Linked DNA regions of Tamandua tetradactyla. Each later gene encodes a partner of the first gene's protein in a complex. Links are inferred from orthologs where the notes say so. Each region holds a gene or a part of one and is shown on either strand. Other genes may lie near its edges.

The links. The genes of interacting proteins can lie anywhere in the genome.
Region 2: STX18 (region 1) and STX7 share a complex: the UniProt entries of both Homo sapiens proteins name them as parts of the SNARE complex. The link is inferred for Tamandua tetradactyla from reciprocal best matches to the Homo sapiens genes STX18 and STX7.

The regions. Positions count from the first base shown.
Region 1 is NC_135345.1:8,488,915-8,495,942, forward strand, and holds the start of STX18 (syntaxin-18), read left to right. Parts: upstream 1-3,991; 5' UTR 3,992-4,076; coding exon 4,077-4,244; intron 4,245-7,028. UniProt on the Homo sapiens protein: Syntaxin that may be involved in targeting and fusion of Golgi-derived retrograde transport vesicles with the ER.
Region 2 is NC_135351.1:32,621,688-32,629,563, reverse strand, and holds the start of STX7 (syntaxin-7), read left to right. Parts: upstream 1-4,821; 5' UTR 4,822-5,401; coding exon 5,402-5,501; intron 5,502-7,876. UniProt on the Homo sapiens protein: May be involved in protein trafficking from the plasma membrane to the early endosome (EE) as well as in homotypic fusion of endocytic organelles. Mediates the endocytic trafficking from early endosomes to late endosomes and lysosomes.

The DNA.
Region 1 (7,028 bases):
GGAATGGATGGAGTCATATATCTATCTAATCAAATGTCACCCCCACAACTGGGCGAGTCACAGCTCCATGGAGATAATCTAATCAAAAGCTTCTACACACAATATTGAATCAGGATTAAAAGAAATTTCTCTGGCAAGATTGGCTTTTCTACGGTACATAATAATTTCAAACCGGCACACAGCCCTTTAGAAAAACAACTGTGTGCAGCCTATAATGCCTTACTGCAAGTAGAAGGACTAACTCAGAAATACTCTGTGAAATTAAGAACAGCCATCCCCCATACAGGGGTGGATTCGGGACATTGCCTCTAAGCCTTACTCTGGCAGTACACAGTTAATCACATTGACAAAGGGGAAAGCTTCTCTGCAGCAGCACAGCATTTCAACAACAGCTTCACAAGTGTAAAATGCATGATATCCTGAGATCAGTTTCCTATGTGGAAGAACAACACTTACCCCTCCCTGCTGATCCTCCCGAGGTGGCTGTCTCTGTGCCCACTGTTGATGGATGTGGCAGTATACCTGAGTCTGCCTGGTATACGGACGGAGGAGCACACGTGCAGCCTGCCACCTGGATAGCAGTAGGCATGTGCTTTGGTTTGCTGAAGCTGCCAGAATGCAATCTACCAGAAATGGACTGGCTTCTACAAAAGAAATTTATCAGGTTATAAATTTACAGTTCTAAAGCTGTGAAAATGCCCCAATGGATTTATCAACAAAAGGATAACTTCACTCAAGAAAGGTTTTCAGCAACTGATACACCTCTGTCAGCTGCAAAGACACCTGACTGGTGTCTGCTAGTCCTTGCTCCCAGTTCATTGCTTTCTCTTTCTAAGCATCTGTGGGCCCTCTCTTAGCTTCTCTGGGGCAAACTCTGCATTTCACCCCTTAGCTTCAGTTGGCTCTCTCCAGGTTCTGGGTCCTCCAGGTTCTGTGGGACCTTGCATAGCATCTCCGGGGCAATTCTGTCACCAAGCATCTGCCATTTCTCTGCTCTCTGTATCAGTTCTGAGCTCTCTCTATGCTTTCTGCCTTTTATTCTCTTCATCGAAGACGCTAGTAAAAGGATTAAGACCCACCTTGAATTGGGTGGGTTATACCTCCATGGAAACAAGTCAATCAAAAGATCCTACCCCCAAGAGGTCAGCATGCCCAAGACTGGATTAGAAGAACATGGCTTTTCTGGGGCACATAACAGTTTCAAGCAAGCACACTGTGTAACCTAGTACAAACACACTATGGGGTGGGAAACTGGGACTATCATGCGCTGAATTAAGGGATGTATGGATGGTCATTTTCACGAACTTGGAGATGGGATAACTATTTGTGCTGACAATTGGGCCATGTACCGAGGTCTGACAATGTGGATGGCCATGTAGAAGCAAGAGAAATGGACTGTTGTTGGCCATCCCTTTGGGGAAAAGAAATGTGGCCAGATATCTGGACTATCACAAGTGAAAGGTAACTGTGTTTCATATCTTTGCCCATAACACTAATTCTTTACCTGGCAATATTGAATTAGGAAAAATTCATAGCCGAAGGCCAACACTGCATGAGGCTGCTGAATGGTTTCATAAAAAATAGAACACCCAGGGTACCAGACCCTGTGAAGCCTGGTACAGCAATTCCAGCTGCCCATCACCAGGCAACTGAAAGAAGTTGTGAACATCTGCTCCTCCTGTTTGCTGCGATGCTCAAGGATGCTTCCTCATCAACTCAGTCACACTGGCTGTGAGCAGATTCTGCTCACCGGGTGGCAGGTAGGTTATACTGGGCCCCTTCCCTTATCTGGATATATAAAATAAGCTTTTACAGCTGTAGATAACGCCACTGGACTGCTGCTGGCTTTTCCAGTAGATAAAGCTAAGCAAAGAGATACAATACATAGCTTAGAAAAGCCAAGTGCATTCTTTGGGGTCTCCACACATGTCGACACTGATGGAGGGACCCCCTTAACTGGACAACTAACCCAAAACTTGGCTACTTAACGTGACATCTTATGAATATTTCATTTGACTTACAATCCCACAGCAGTGGGATTGATTGAAAGAATGAATGGGATTTTTAAATATATATATTTATTGTATTCACTTGCATTCACTTAAGATAAAAATCCAAAGTTTCTGGCTTCTTTAGGCTATTGTAAATAATGTAGCTGTAAACATTGGTGTACAAGTACCTGTTCAAGTCTCTGCTTTCAATTCTTTGGGGGACTATTCCCAGAAAAGGGATTGCCAAGTCACATGGTAATGATGGGCTTTTAAAAGAGTGATTAAACGATAACAAACAATCTCTGCAACACTGGGCGTGTCAGTTGTATCCAGTCCTCCTCAGCCTTGATTCAGGACCCAGAGCAGCTGCCCTCGCCCCTGCTGAACTGGTAATGGTAGGGCCCGTGCAGATACTGCAAATTCAGGTACAAAAAAGACCAGCAACACTACAGATATAACAAGGTAATGAAAATAACTTGCTTTTGCTGCACTACAAGCATTAGAAACTGGGGAAAATAAGGTCAATTGGCCATGGTCCTGGATGATGTAGTCGCACTGGTTGGGAATCCTAAGCCCATGGGGTATTGGGGTCACCCAAAATTAATGAGTTAGGCCATAGTTTATACACAAAAGGCCAAAGCTGTATATGTAACCAACCCGAGACCCTTCATATCCCAAGGCACAGTATGTAGGACTCTGTTATCACGTAGTATGTTCAGGCTAATTGTGAATCTGACCACAGAAAGCTCCTGCAATCGCAAGGGGAAAAGATGTAGTATTTGTCTGCTAGTGGAAAGTTGGCTTATGTTCTTTTTGCCCTTAGCATCGCAGCAAATACCTTTCTGCAACAGGCTTCTGTGGTAACCTACATGCACGATAAATCTCAATGCTGAGTGTGTGCTGAACTGCCACTGCTGGGTGTTACCAGCTTGCCTTGGACTGTGACCCCTGGGAATGAACTGCATGGAATACCCTGCTGGCCTGACAGAATTCAGAACATTGGAAAATCTAGAAAAGAATCTTCTCACGAACGAATGAAATCACAGGTTTTTATCAGTTATTAGTAGAATAATGTAACTCCCTTTCTTGGCCTGACAGCATCAGTTTGTGGACCTCCTAATGTTCTGTAGCCTCTTACACTGTTTTTGTGGAATATGGATGCATACTACTTCAGGGGCAGTGGATTGTGGCAACCCAGGGGTCGGGACCTCCCCCTCCACTACGGAAACATGTAGCAGCCTGGGTGACATTTATTAAAACTCCCCTCCCTTAATCACTAGTGGTAATCAACCCTCCCAGGACTCTGCTGAAACTACTTGTAACGACTTCTCGCAAGAGTCTGCTGAACCTTAGAAGCCATCCTCTTGGCACTCCTCTTCCCTTTGCACAAAATGCTGACTTCCATTTCCCAACCATTGGGAGAAATTTTTCTCCTTTAAAACGCATAAATAATTTTCTGCCTGGCGTGGTCTTTGGTCTCGGGGTTGTGCTGGGCGAGGGCAAGCTGCAAGTAATATTTATTGGCCATTATAAGGGGCCAAGTAGCCCTACACAGTACACTATATCATTTAATTTTCACAATAATACTGAAGTTGGGGGCTGGCTTCATCTCACAGCTACGATAATGAAGGCTGGAGAAAAACGGCCTCTGGCCTCTATGTCCGAGCCTCAGCCACCAATCTGCCCTCCATGCTTCCAGAGGGTCAAAATCCACGTGCATTCCCGCATATTCCTCGAGGTCAAATGTCAAGGCCAGCTCCCCTTATGGTCCCTCCAGCGAGGCCCACATGGCCCGGCTCGCTCAATGCGGAAGCCACGAGAAGGGAGCAAGCCTTCCTGCTTCCTGGGGTACAGGGGACTCGGGGTCCCCGGCCCCCCTGGCGTTGCCAAGGCGGCCAGGGTTTGCCGGGAGGAGAAAGGGGCGTTTTCCAGCGCGCAGCCCGAGCCCGGAACCTTTCTCCCCGCGCCGCGGTTGCCGGGCGGAAGTGTGCGGGCCGGGAACTGCCCTCCGGCTGCCAGGCTCGCGTCGCGGTCGCCGGCTGCTGACGTGAGCGGGTCGGGTGGCGGCCACGGTTGTGGGTCGCCATGGCGGTGGACATCACGCTGCTGTTTCGGGCCAGCGTCAAGACCGTGAAGACGCGGAACAAGGCGCTGGGAGTGGCAGTGGGCGGCGGGGCTGATGGCAGCCGCGACGAGCTGTTCCGCCGGAGCTCCCGGGCCAAGGGCGACTTTGCCAGTCGGGCCCGCGAAGTGGTGAGCTGGTTGCTATGGAGACGGCGGGCGGACGAGGGAGGCGGACCCGCGACTTAGCGGTGAGACCCTGTCGGGTTAGCATTGTGCGGAGGAAACGCCTGAAAGATGTGGTCTCACCGCGGGGTGGGGGTGGGGGTGGGGGTGTCTCAACCGGAGAGTTGGGTATGAGTGCGGACAGCTGCCTTCAGAAAGGAGCAGCCTTATATGGGGGACTGGATGTAAGTATTGGGGAAGTCTAGGAAGCAGATTTCTCTTTGGAAGAAGAAGGCACTCGGCAACCTCTAAGTGCAATGTTTGCTTTGTGAAAAAATGAGTTCGCGGGCACGGCGGACAGTCCTTTGCTTCCCCGACGCAGCCCTGACTACACTGTATTTGCCTCTTTTTGCTTGTCTGGTTCCGCCTCCCTCGCATTGAGATCAAAGACCACGTTTCTTTCAGCTGAGTCCTCCCCTCCCCTTGCCTTCCCCAGTATTTCAGGAGCGTGGTAAAGCTAAGCACATCTCGAAACTGGTTTTGGATAATCTTTCACAAATATTCCATGTTCTAGTCGTCTAAACTACTTACTGTTACCTGAACACAGCAGCCTTTCGTTCATAAGAGCAGGGGCTTTCTCCTTTAGGGCAGAAACTGTTGGCTTCATCTCGGAATGGCCCATAGCATTGCTTACTAAATGTTGAATGAATGAATGAATGAATGAACAAATGGCTGCCTGTCTTTCTAACTAAACAGGAAACACCATAAGGAGAGAGAAAATCTTTGTTCACTTTTGTATCCTTGGCACCAAGGTTGGATCTAGTTTTTATTTATACAATTTTATCTGCCCTTTTTCAGAAATACAAATAAGAAATTACCAAAAAAAAAAAAAAAAAAGAAGAAGGAAAAAGTAGCCTAAGGGCTTTGGAAAGTGCATGTGGGAGTCCCTGAAACCTCAGGTTCATTAGCTTCCTGATAAGTCCACCTCTGCTTAGCACACAGTCCAATACTTAGCATTTTGTGAACACTTGATGTTTTTGAATGAATATATGTATTCATGAATTAAGACTGGCAGTTGCAGAGGACAGTTAGGCATCAGAAGAGAAAGTGGACCAGATGAGTACATCCAGACCAAAGCACTGGTTTGAGTGGCATGATGTAAAAGGAGTAGTAGAGGAGATAGGCATATAAACAAAAATAAGTGCCATAAAGCTTAGTAGATGTTGTGACAGAAGGCTAAGACACAAAGGAAGGTGGTCAGTTCTGCCTGAGGGCTGGGAAAGGCTTAAAAGAGGTGATGATGTCTGAAATCAATCTCGAAAGAGTAGTTGGCTGGTTCCAGGACAGACAGAGTAGGGAAAGGCCTCTCAGGTTGAGAGAACAGTATGCACAAAGTCACTGAGGTAGGTGCCAAACTAACATCAGCTGGTTTGATAAGCATTTGAGTGTGGCTGGAATGTGGGACCCCCAGGAAATTTGGCCTGGAATGACAGGTAGGGGCAGTTCTTGAAGGACCTTGTATATGACTGCTGAACTTGAACTTTACACGTAGGCAATCTGATCTTAGTGGAGAAGGAGCACTAGAGAAGGAGCCAAGGGACTTGGTTGTCCTCTTAACCCTGCAACTATTAGCCACTTAAGGCTTATTCAGCAACTATCACCACAATTTCTTTACCTGTAGGTCCCCTTCTTTTTTTTTTTTTCCCCTTAAACAGCAAGAGACTGAAAACCGCATTACCCTCTAGGTCTGACAGATCAAATGGGAGCTTCTCAGGTTGAGGTGAAAGGAAGGGAAACCAGGCTATTCTCCCTCTCCCTCCCCCGCAATCTTGCCCAGACACTTCCTGAGCTACCACTTGTGGAGCTGTGGTTTGAAGACCGCAGTTTTGGTTTTTGGAGGGCCCCTCTACCTCTGCAATCACCAGTGTATTAACATCATGCTGATCTGAGTTGAGTTGCTGCTCTTGTAGGGACAAGAAGCACAGGAGGGTCTGTGAGCATGATGAAGAGCCCTGTGGTCACTGAGGCCCCCTCAGGCCTCTTCCTGAGTAGTGAGAACTAGAGTTCAGTCTTTGAATTCATGGGCATGGTTAAGTAGTGACAGGTTTCTACTACTGGAGTTATTTAAACAGAGGGGTAGTTAGGGATGTTTGAGAAGAACTTTGCTTGTCAGAGAGACTACATTCCATTGATGTTTAATGATGAGGGTAGGTGTAAAGTTGTGGAGTTTCTGTCAAGTAGGGACATGAGCTGCGCTGTTCAGGGCCACTGCCTCTTCTGATATTGGGAAAACATGCATTCTTTGGAAGAATTTTTTTTTCTCATATTGCAGTTGTAAGAAACTGTTCTTGCGACTATTTCTTTCTCTTTCACTCTTCCTCCTTGCGGAAGAGTTCAGCTAGTATAGAGCTAGTGGGGGGATGATCAGGTGTGTCAGATGTTTGGTCGTTAATATTGTTTTGGATAGATTTCCTTTTACATGAAAGTCTGGTTAGTACTAGGAGTACAGGTTTAGAACTGGTTATCAGACCAGAGGAAATGTAGCAAATTATAGAAATGACTTTGGTTAAATGCCTTCTTTGAAGCATTTGCTATCATTTTTGTTTTGTTTTTGTTTCTTTTGTTGAAGCATTTCCTATCATTTTAAAGATACATTTTGCCTACTTTAATTCCAGGCCTTCTGTTCCTTGTTTTGAACAAAATGTATGCCTGATGTCATATTTCCATCTCACTGCATTGATGTAGAGGTTGTATTAAGCTTAATAAAATTTTGTTGAAACTAGTTTTTCTATCCCATGGGCTGGTTTCTTA
Region 2 (7,876 bases), on another chromosome or scaffold:
CAAAGGAGAAGCTAAATCTACTTATAATTATGCCCCTGGAGAACGTGTTTTGTTGCTCAGATGTGGCCTTTCCCTGTAAGCTAACTCGGCAGGTGAACTCACCACCTCCCGAGGGTGTGAACCTCCCTGGCAATGTGGGAGCTGGGACACAGCATCATGGGATTGAGAAAGCCTTCTTGGCCTAAAAGGGGAAGAGAGAAATGAGACAAAATAAAGTTTCAGTGGCTGAGAGATTTTGAACAGTCAAAAGGTTATCCTGGAGGTTATTCTTATGCATACAGATATTCCTTTTTAGCTTGTGGTGTATTGGGGTGGCTAGAGGGAAGTACCTGAAACTGTTGAACTGTGTTCCAGTAGCCTTTGCTCGTGAAGATAATTATATAACTATACAGCTTTTATAATGTGATGATGTGATTGTGGAAACCTACTGGTTGATTCTCCCTTTGTCCAGGATATGGACAGATGGGTAAAAAATAAGGACAATAAATAAATAAATGATGGGTAGAAAGGGGATAAGGGGTAAAAAAAAAAAAAAAAAAAAAAAGGTTGTATCTTCTTTATCCCTAGCATTTCATTCAGTATCTGGCACAAAGTAAATGTTCAATAAATGTTTATAAAATTGAAAAAAAATTTTAAAATATCTAGAATATAGGTAACCAGAAGATACAGTGAAGACAAAGAATAGGGAACTGATGCTTAATTTGTGCAGAATTTTTAAATAAAGGTGACTGTTATATTTGGAAACAGATAGAGATGATGATAGTACATTATTATAAGTGTGTAAGTAACAGTGCTGAATCATGTGTGTGATAATGGTTGAAAGGGGAAGTTTAGGGTCATGTATATCAGTAGAAGGAAAGCTCGAGGATGAAACAAGGGGCTGACATTATAACATAGTGAATCCAGTTGTGGATGATGAATGTGGTTAATAGTACTGTTCTAGTTTGCTAGCTGCTGGAATGCAATATACCAGAAATGGAATGGCTTTTAAAAAGGGGAATTTAATGAGTTGCTAGTTTACAGTTCTAAGGCCGAGAAAATGTCCCGATTAAAACAAGTCTATAGAAATATCCAATCTAAGGCATCCAGGGAAAGATACCTTGGTTCAAGAAGGCCAGTGAAGTTCAGGGTTCCTCTCTCAAGTGAGAAGGCACATGGCGAACACAGTCAGGACTTCTGTCAGCTGGAAGGGCACATGGCGAACACAGCGTCATCTGCTGGCTTTCTCTCCTGGCTTCCTATTTCGTGAAGCTCCCCGGGAGGTGTCTTCCTTCTTCATCTCCAAAGGTCGCTGGCTGGTGGACTCTGTTTTGTAGTGTTGCTCTCTCTGAATCTCTCTGAATCTCTCATTCTCCAAAATGTTTCCTCTTTTTATAGGACTTCAGAAACTAATCAAGACCCACTCAAATGGGTGGAGACATGTCATACCCTAATCCAGTTTAACAACCATTCTTAACTAAATCACATCAACCAGGGAGATGATCTCATTACAGTTTCAAATGTACAGTATTGAATAGGGATTATTCTACCTTTAAGAAATGGGACTTATATTAAAACATGGCTTTTCTTAGGGGACATGCTTCCTTTCAAACCAGCACAAGTACAAATACAAGAATGTTCTTCCATGAATTAGAACAATACATGTCAAAACTGCAAGATGTTGGTAATAGGGTGGTACATGGGAAAAAAATTTACCTAATGCAAATTATAGTCTGTTAATAGTAGCATAATGTTCCTCCATCTATTGTGTAGCAAAGGTACGCACTGAAGCTGAGTGTCATTAATGGCGGAGGGGGGAGATAAGGGATATAGGGTTTTCTTTTGGGAACTATGAACTATGAAAATGTTCTCAAATTGATTGTGGTAATGTAAGTACAGCTCTGTGATTATACTGAGTGCTATTGATTGTACACTTTGGATGGACTATATGGTGTATGAATAAAACTGTATTAAAAAAAAGGCTAAAATATAATCCACAGAATGGGAGAAGATATTTGACAATAATCTGATAAAGGTCTTGTATCTAAAATACATGTAGAAGTTATACAAGTCAGTAATAAAAAGACCAATGAGCCAAGGATCTGAATAGACATTTCTCCCAAAAAGATACACAAATGGCCAAGAAGCACATGAAAAAAAAGCTCAGCATCATTAGCCACCAGGGAAGTGCAAATCACAATTGCAGTATGTACCACTCCACAATCACTAGGATGACTATAATCAGAAAGACAGGTAATAGCAAGTGTTGGTGAGAATGTGGAGCAATTTAAACCTTTATACATTGGTGAAAATATAAAATGACACAGCCACTTTGAAAAACTGGCAGTTCTTCAAAAGATTAAACTAAGCATAGAATTGCAATACAAGCCAGCAACTCCACTTCCAGGTATCTACCCAAGAGAAATGAAAATGTGTCTGTATCTATATGTCCACATAAAAACTTGTACATGAATGTGTATAGTAGCATTATTCCTAATGGCCAGAAAGTAAAAATAACCTGTGTCCATCAATAGGTGAATGAATAAATAAAAGAAATGTTGTCTGTCTATCTAATAGAATATTATTCAGTGGTAGAAAGGGACTAAGTACTCTTCTGTGCTACAAAGTGGATGAACCTTGCAAATATGGTAACAAAAGACCATGTATTTTAGGATTCCATTTATGTGAAATGTCCAGATTAGACAAATCTATAAAGGCATACAGTAGATGCAGAGATTCAGAGTCGCCTAGGATTAGGAAGTTGGGGATAAATGGGGAATGACTACTAATGGATACAGGTTTTCTTTTTGGGGTGATGAAAATATTCTAAAATTGATTGTGGTAGTTGTTTGGGGAGGGGGTCCCAAAGCACCCAGTAGAAAAATGGACCCATGGAACAAGGAAGGGAAATACAGAGCAGCCTAACCTCCCAGGTTTTCCAGGCCAGCTTGACACATTCCACCATGCACCACTGGAACCAGTACTTCCTGCCAGGACTGACACATAGGACAAAGCACATATTTCATTGTGGCCTTTTCTCTCCTACAAGAAATATATAGTGGCTTCTTGTTGCAACCTAAGCCAACTAAACCCGGCATCTGGGGCCCTCTCTCTGTGACCTTGGCTTTGTGTGAGGAGCTTTGAAATCAGTACTGTGAAGTGGCTCTCACCTCCACCTTGTGCTGGTCGAGTTACCTTGGACAAGTTATTTAATCTTTATCAACCACAGTTTACTCACCATTAAAACAAAGATAATGCTACTGACTTTAAGGGGAGTTTGTGAAAATTAAATTAGATGTCTATGTCAGATGCTTATCACTTGGCAGACGTGTAATAAATGTTAGGTTGTTCCTCTCTTCCCAGCCAGGAATCATCCGATCCAGAGTTGGCCTGGGGCCTCCCCTTCCTGTGGTAATCACCTTCCCCCACACTCTGGGTCCCTTGGCTCCAGGCACCCTGACCTTGCTTTGTGTTCTCTATACCAGTCATAGCCAGACATCCAGAGCCTATATTTCTGGGTTTTAAACCTTTTCAGGCAAGGGTAATAGTGATGAGTCCCTGTCACTTTTGCCTAGCCCTTGGCCTTTTACTGCTTTGTGTTGTTTTTTGTTGTTTTACCTTAAATCTGTCTTCTAAATTGCAAACTTGATTTGAACACTTTATATCTTTATTTTCACTTTCTTTGGATCTTCCCAGTGCTTAGTTTAATGCTGGTCATGGATTAGGCTCTGAGGGAGCTGACTTGGCAGCTGACCACCAACTACTGCAGTAGCCTCTGCGCACTCAGTGGAGCAAGCAGGGTCATTGAAGCTCTAGGAGTGCAGTCCCCTAGTCAAGGTGCAGTCCTTTTTTCTGCCTTCCAAACCCTGAGAAGGTAGGGTGGATTGAAGAAGGAAAGAACCTCATCTTGTCTCCTTCCAGTAGCAGTATCCCAGCTTGGCTTCTGATCCTAAGACGCTGTTTCTAGAAGAGGGGGGCCCTCCTTTCTCCTTTCTCTGTTGGGAAGTGTACTGAGCATTTATTGAACGTTCTTTCTCTTCCAGCAGATGGCTCTGCTATCTCAGATTTGACCTTTCCCATTACGAGAACCCCTAGTCCCGTGTTCCCGAGCTCCCTACTTTAACGATCCTTGAACTGGATATACCGTTTTCTTAAAAAATCCTCCTCTTTCCTTGAGCAGAGGAAAGAAATGTGTGTGTGTTGTGTATGTGGATTAAGTTAGATTTAATGAAATTTCTGGGGATAACCTGAATTCTGTGTTCATCTAACAAATGTTGAAGTGCCTGATCTATGCCAGGAATTGTCCTAAATGTTGGAGAAAGAAAGCTAAGCATCATGCAGCTCATCTTATATTTGCTTTTAATTTCATCAAGGAGAAATTATCTGAACAATTAAAATTCTACCCAGAAACCAGACTTAGTAAACCTGTCTTGGAGAGCTGCTCAAGGAAGTTTTTAAAAGAGAATGTGCAGCTTGAACGTTATTTTAATTGTTTAACATGTTTAACATGACTGTCTAATGACCAGTTTTTTTCTCTAGACATGAGAATTTTGCTGCTTGATTTTGACCCTGTTCAGTTAATCAAGTTTATAATCTCCCAGATTGATAATTTGGAAGATGTAAACCAGTAACATTAAAAATACAATTTGACTTTTCTTTTTATGTTATTTAGGTCATTGCTTAGAGAAACTTCTGTACGGCCCCCCAGCATCTGATGAAATTAGTGAATAAGCCAGTCAACCATGTCTTACACTCCGGGAATTGGTGGGGACCCTGCCCAGCTGGCCCAGCGCATCTCTTCCAACATCCAGAAGATCACACAGTGCTGTGAGTTGATTTTTAAATGACTTCCTTGTTTGTTTTTAATTTTTAACTGAAATTGGTGAAGGTTCATAAATAGGCAAGTGTAGTGCTGAGGGAGGGAGCAGCACACCATTGGCAAGAAAGGAGACCAAGAGGCTTACTTCAATGGATGAAGCAGGTATACTGTGCTAGGAAAGATAAGCTGTATTTAGTAAGAGGATGTCTTGAGTTGAGAGTCATCTTCTCTGGAATGACAGTACTCAGGCTACAGAAGCACCAAGTAAAGATTGAGGGGTTGCAGATTGTGTATGAACTTGAGCTGGAAAGAAGGAAGGGTTAGCTGAAACCAGGCTGCACTCCCTGAGAAAGTGATCAGTTGGTCCAACTAGATGAGAAGTGATAAGTTGGGGTAGAGTTGAATATTCATGGCATGTTGTGACAGCTTGTATGAGATGACATCACAATCTGGGGCAGCTTTGGTGTGTGGGAAGATGAAGATTCACCACTGTCCTGCATGAAGCGCTGTAGAGCAGGCTGGGAGCACTCTGCCAACAGGAGCTTCGATCACTGCCTTCTGATATCTGTGTACTGTCATTTGTGAAACAGAACTGTGTCCTGCATGGACTTAAAGGCCTCCACAGTTGAACAGAAGCTGCAGAGAAGGAAGTGTTTTTTAATCTTCCCAGTTGTTGGGGGTGGAATTACCTGGCTCAGGAGAGGTGAGATTTCTGTTACTAAAGTGACTAATATTATAGAATAGCCAGGTAATTCTTAGGTCTGTAATTAAGAATTTTAAATATTGGCATTATGGTTCAGAATAAATGTCCTTAATTTTGAGACTCTATTTTATCCATTCAACAAGCATTTTATTGAGCACCTCCTATTTGCTGAGCAGTACCCCACACATTGGGAGTACAGTAGTAAACAAGTTCCACAAGGCCCTGCTCTCATTTTATGTACAGTAAAGTGAGGAGAAACAGATAGTAAACAATTAATGAACAGCACAGTTTCCTTAGAAGAAAATGAAGTGGAGATAATGTGGAAGTGAGTGAGTGGGGGAACTGCCTGCGCTTAGTTGGGCCCCTGAATGAGGGTGAGAAAGGCTGGTGGTGAGAAGACAAAGAGAAAGGGCATTTCTGATGGAGTAAATAACTAGTATTAAAAACATTAAAACAGAACAAAGCTGGGGCGTTCAGAGACAGAAAGGCCAGTGTGGCCAGAGAACAAACCAGAGGGGCCGGAGATGGCAAGAGAGGAGCCTGGGGCCCATTATTGTGGGAGTGTGGGGAGTTTGTGCTTGATTTTTTGAGGCAATGGAAATCTAGCAGCAGGTTTTAACTAGGGCAGGGAGGAGAGTTTTGTTTTATCTGAATAAATTTTGAAATGCCTTTTAGACATCTAAGTCAGATATCTAGCTTAGATATGTGAATTTGCATTCAGGTGTCATCAGAGTATTAATGGTATTGAAAACCACAAGTCTAAGATAATCACAAGAGCAGGAGTGTTAAAGATGGTAGAATTCAAAGAGTCAGAAGGAAGCCAGCAAAATGAATCTGAGAAGATGTGACCAGTAAGGTAGGAAGAAAATCAGGGATTTCTGGGAATCAAAAAGTGAGGGTGTTTCAAAAGTAGGTGAGGCATCATCTGGGTCTTGCTGCTGAGAGGCAAAGGTAGAAGCAGAGAGTTAGATTTGGAAAATTGAGATCACTGGTGACTTTGAAAAGAGTGGTCTCAGAGCCATGTTCCAAGAGATTTCTCAGAATTCCACCCACCTCTGCTTCTGCTCTTGGCCGGATCCAGTCACATAGGAACACCTAGCTGCAAAGAGGCCTGAAAATATCTTATAGCTGGATTGCAATGTGCTCACTAAAGTGAGGATTTGCTTCATTTGAGTGAAAAGGGAAGAATCAGCATTTCTTAGGCAACTAGCAGATTCTACCTAGGAGGTGGAAGGAGGGTCAGAGAAAGGATTGTATTTTCTACCACGAAAGGGAAATACTATAATGTTTGTGTTTAGTGAAAATGACCCAAAAGAAAGGGAGAAGTTAGGAAAACAAAAAAAAAGTGAGCGTTTCATTGTGAAAGGAATGTCATTGAAGGTGAGAAGGGGCAAGGAATAATGGAAAACAAATGAGTGGTTCACCTTTCATCCCTCTACAGAGGTGAGGCAGAGGATGGGGGGCAAGAGTTTTTGTGCCAACAGGTCCAGTTTAGTCATTGGACAGAGAATGAGAGGGAGGGACATTGAAAGTTTACAGGAGAGGAGAAAGTGGAGAAGTCAAATCACGTGTAGATTTGATTATTGAGAGAGCTAACAGATCGAGGAAGCAGAGAAGGTTCTTGGCAGGTTGTGTATTCATTTAAGATTTAGTATTGTGAATTTAGTGAAGCCAGTCAGCACTGGGTATTTTTTCTGATTCTGAGACAGTGTCTAGATGAATGGAAGGTTAGCTATAGATAAAGTTATTGTTAAAACTATCACCCACCATTCCAGCGTGCATCACTGGTAAGTGATTTGCAGAACTCAGGTGGAAGTGAAAGGCAGATACAAAATTTCAGTTCATTTTTTCTCCCCTTTAGTGATGCTAATAATAGTGGATATGATTGAATGAAATGACACTTTGCACCGCATTTGGTTCTTCTCTTCACACTACATTTGCGTTTTTAAAATTTGTGTACAAATTAGTAGATTTTACAAAAGAAATCTTGGCATGATACTGTAATATCATACCCTTAGAGTTAGAATATGTGCATCTCTTCACCTAAAGCTAAAGTCTTGCTGAGTAATGCAAAAGTCTTGCTGAGTAATGCATTGGGCAAGTGTTATTTTCTTACTAGATTTCATTAAGATAAGTGAAAACTTGTAATACGTTGAATTGTATTACTTTATACGAAAAAGAAACTAGCAATCAGAAAGAATTTTGATTCTTGGAAAAGTCCAAGAATAACAATATTTAAAGTTGAAATTTTGTTTTCTTTTACTAGTATTATATATTGAACGTTCTTTGTTTGCAAAGAAAAAGGTAAATAAAACAAGGTTATTTTTAAACTTAAGTATTTCTTTTTTGTCAAACCACTTTTGTTAAAAAAAAAT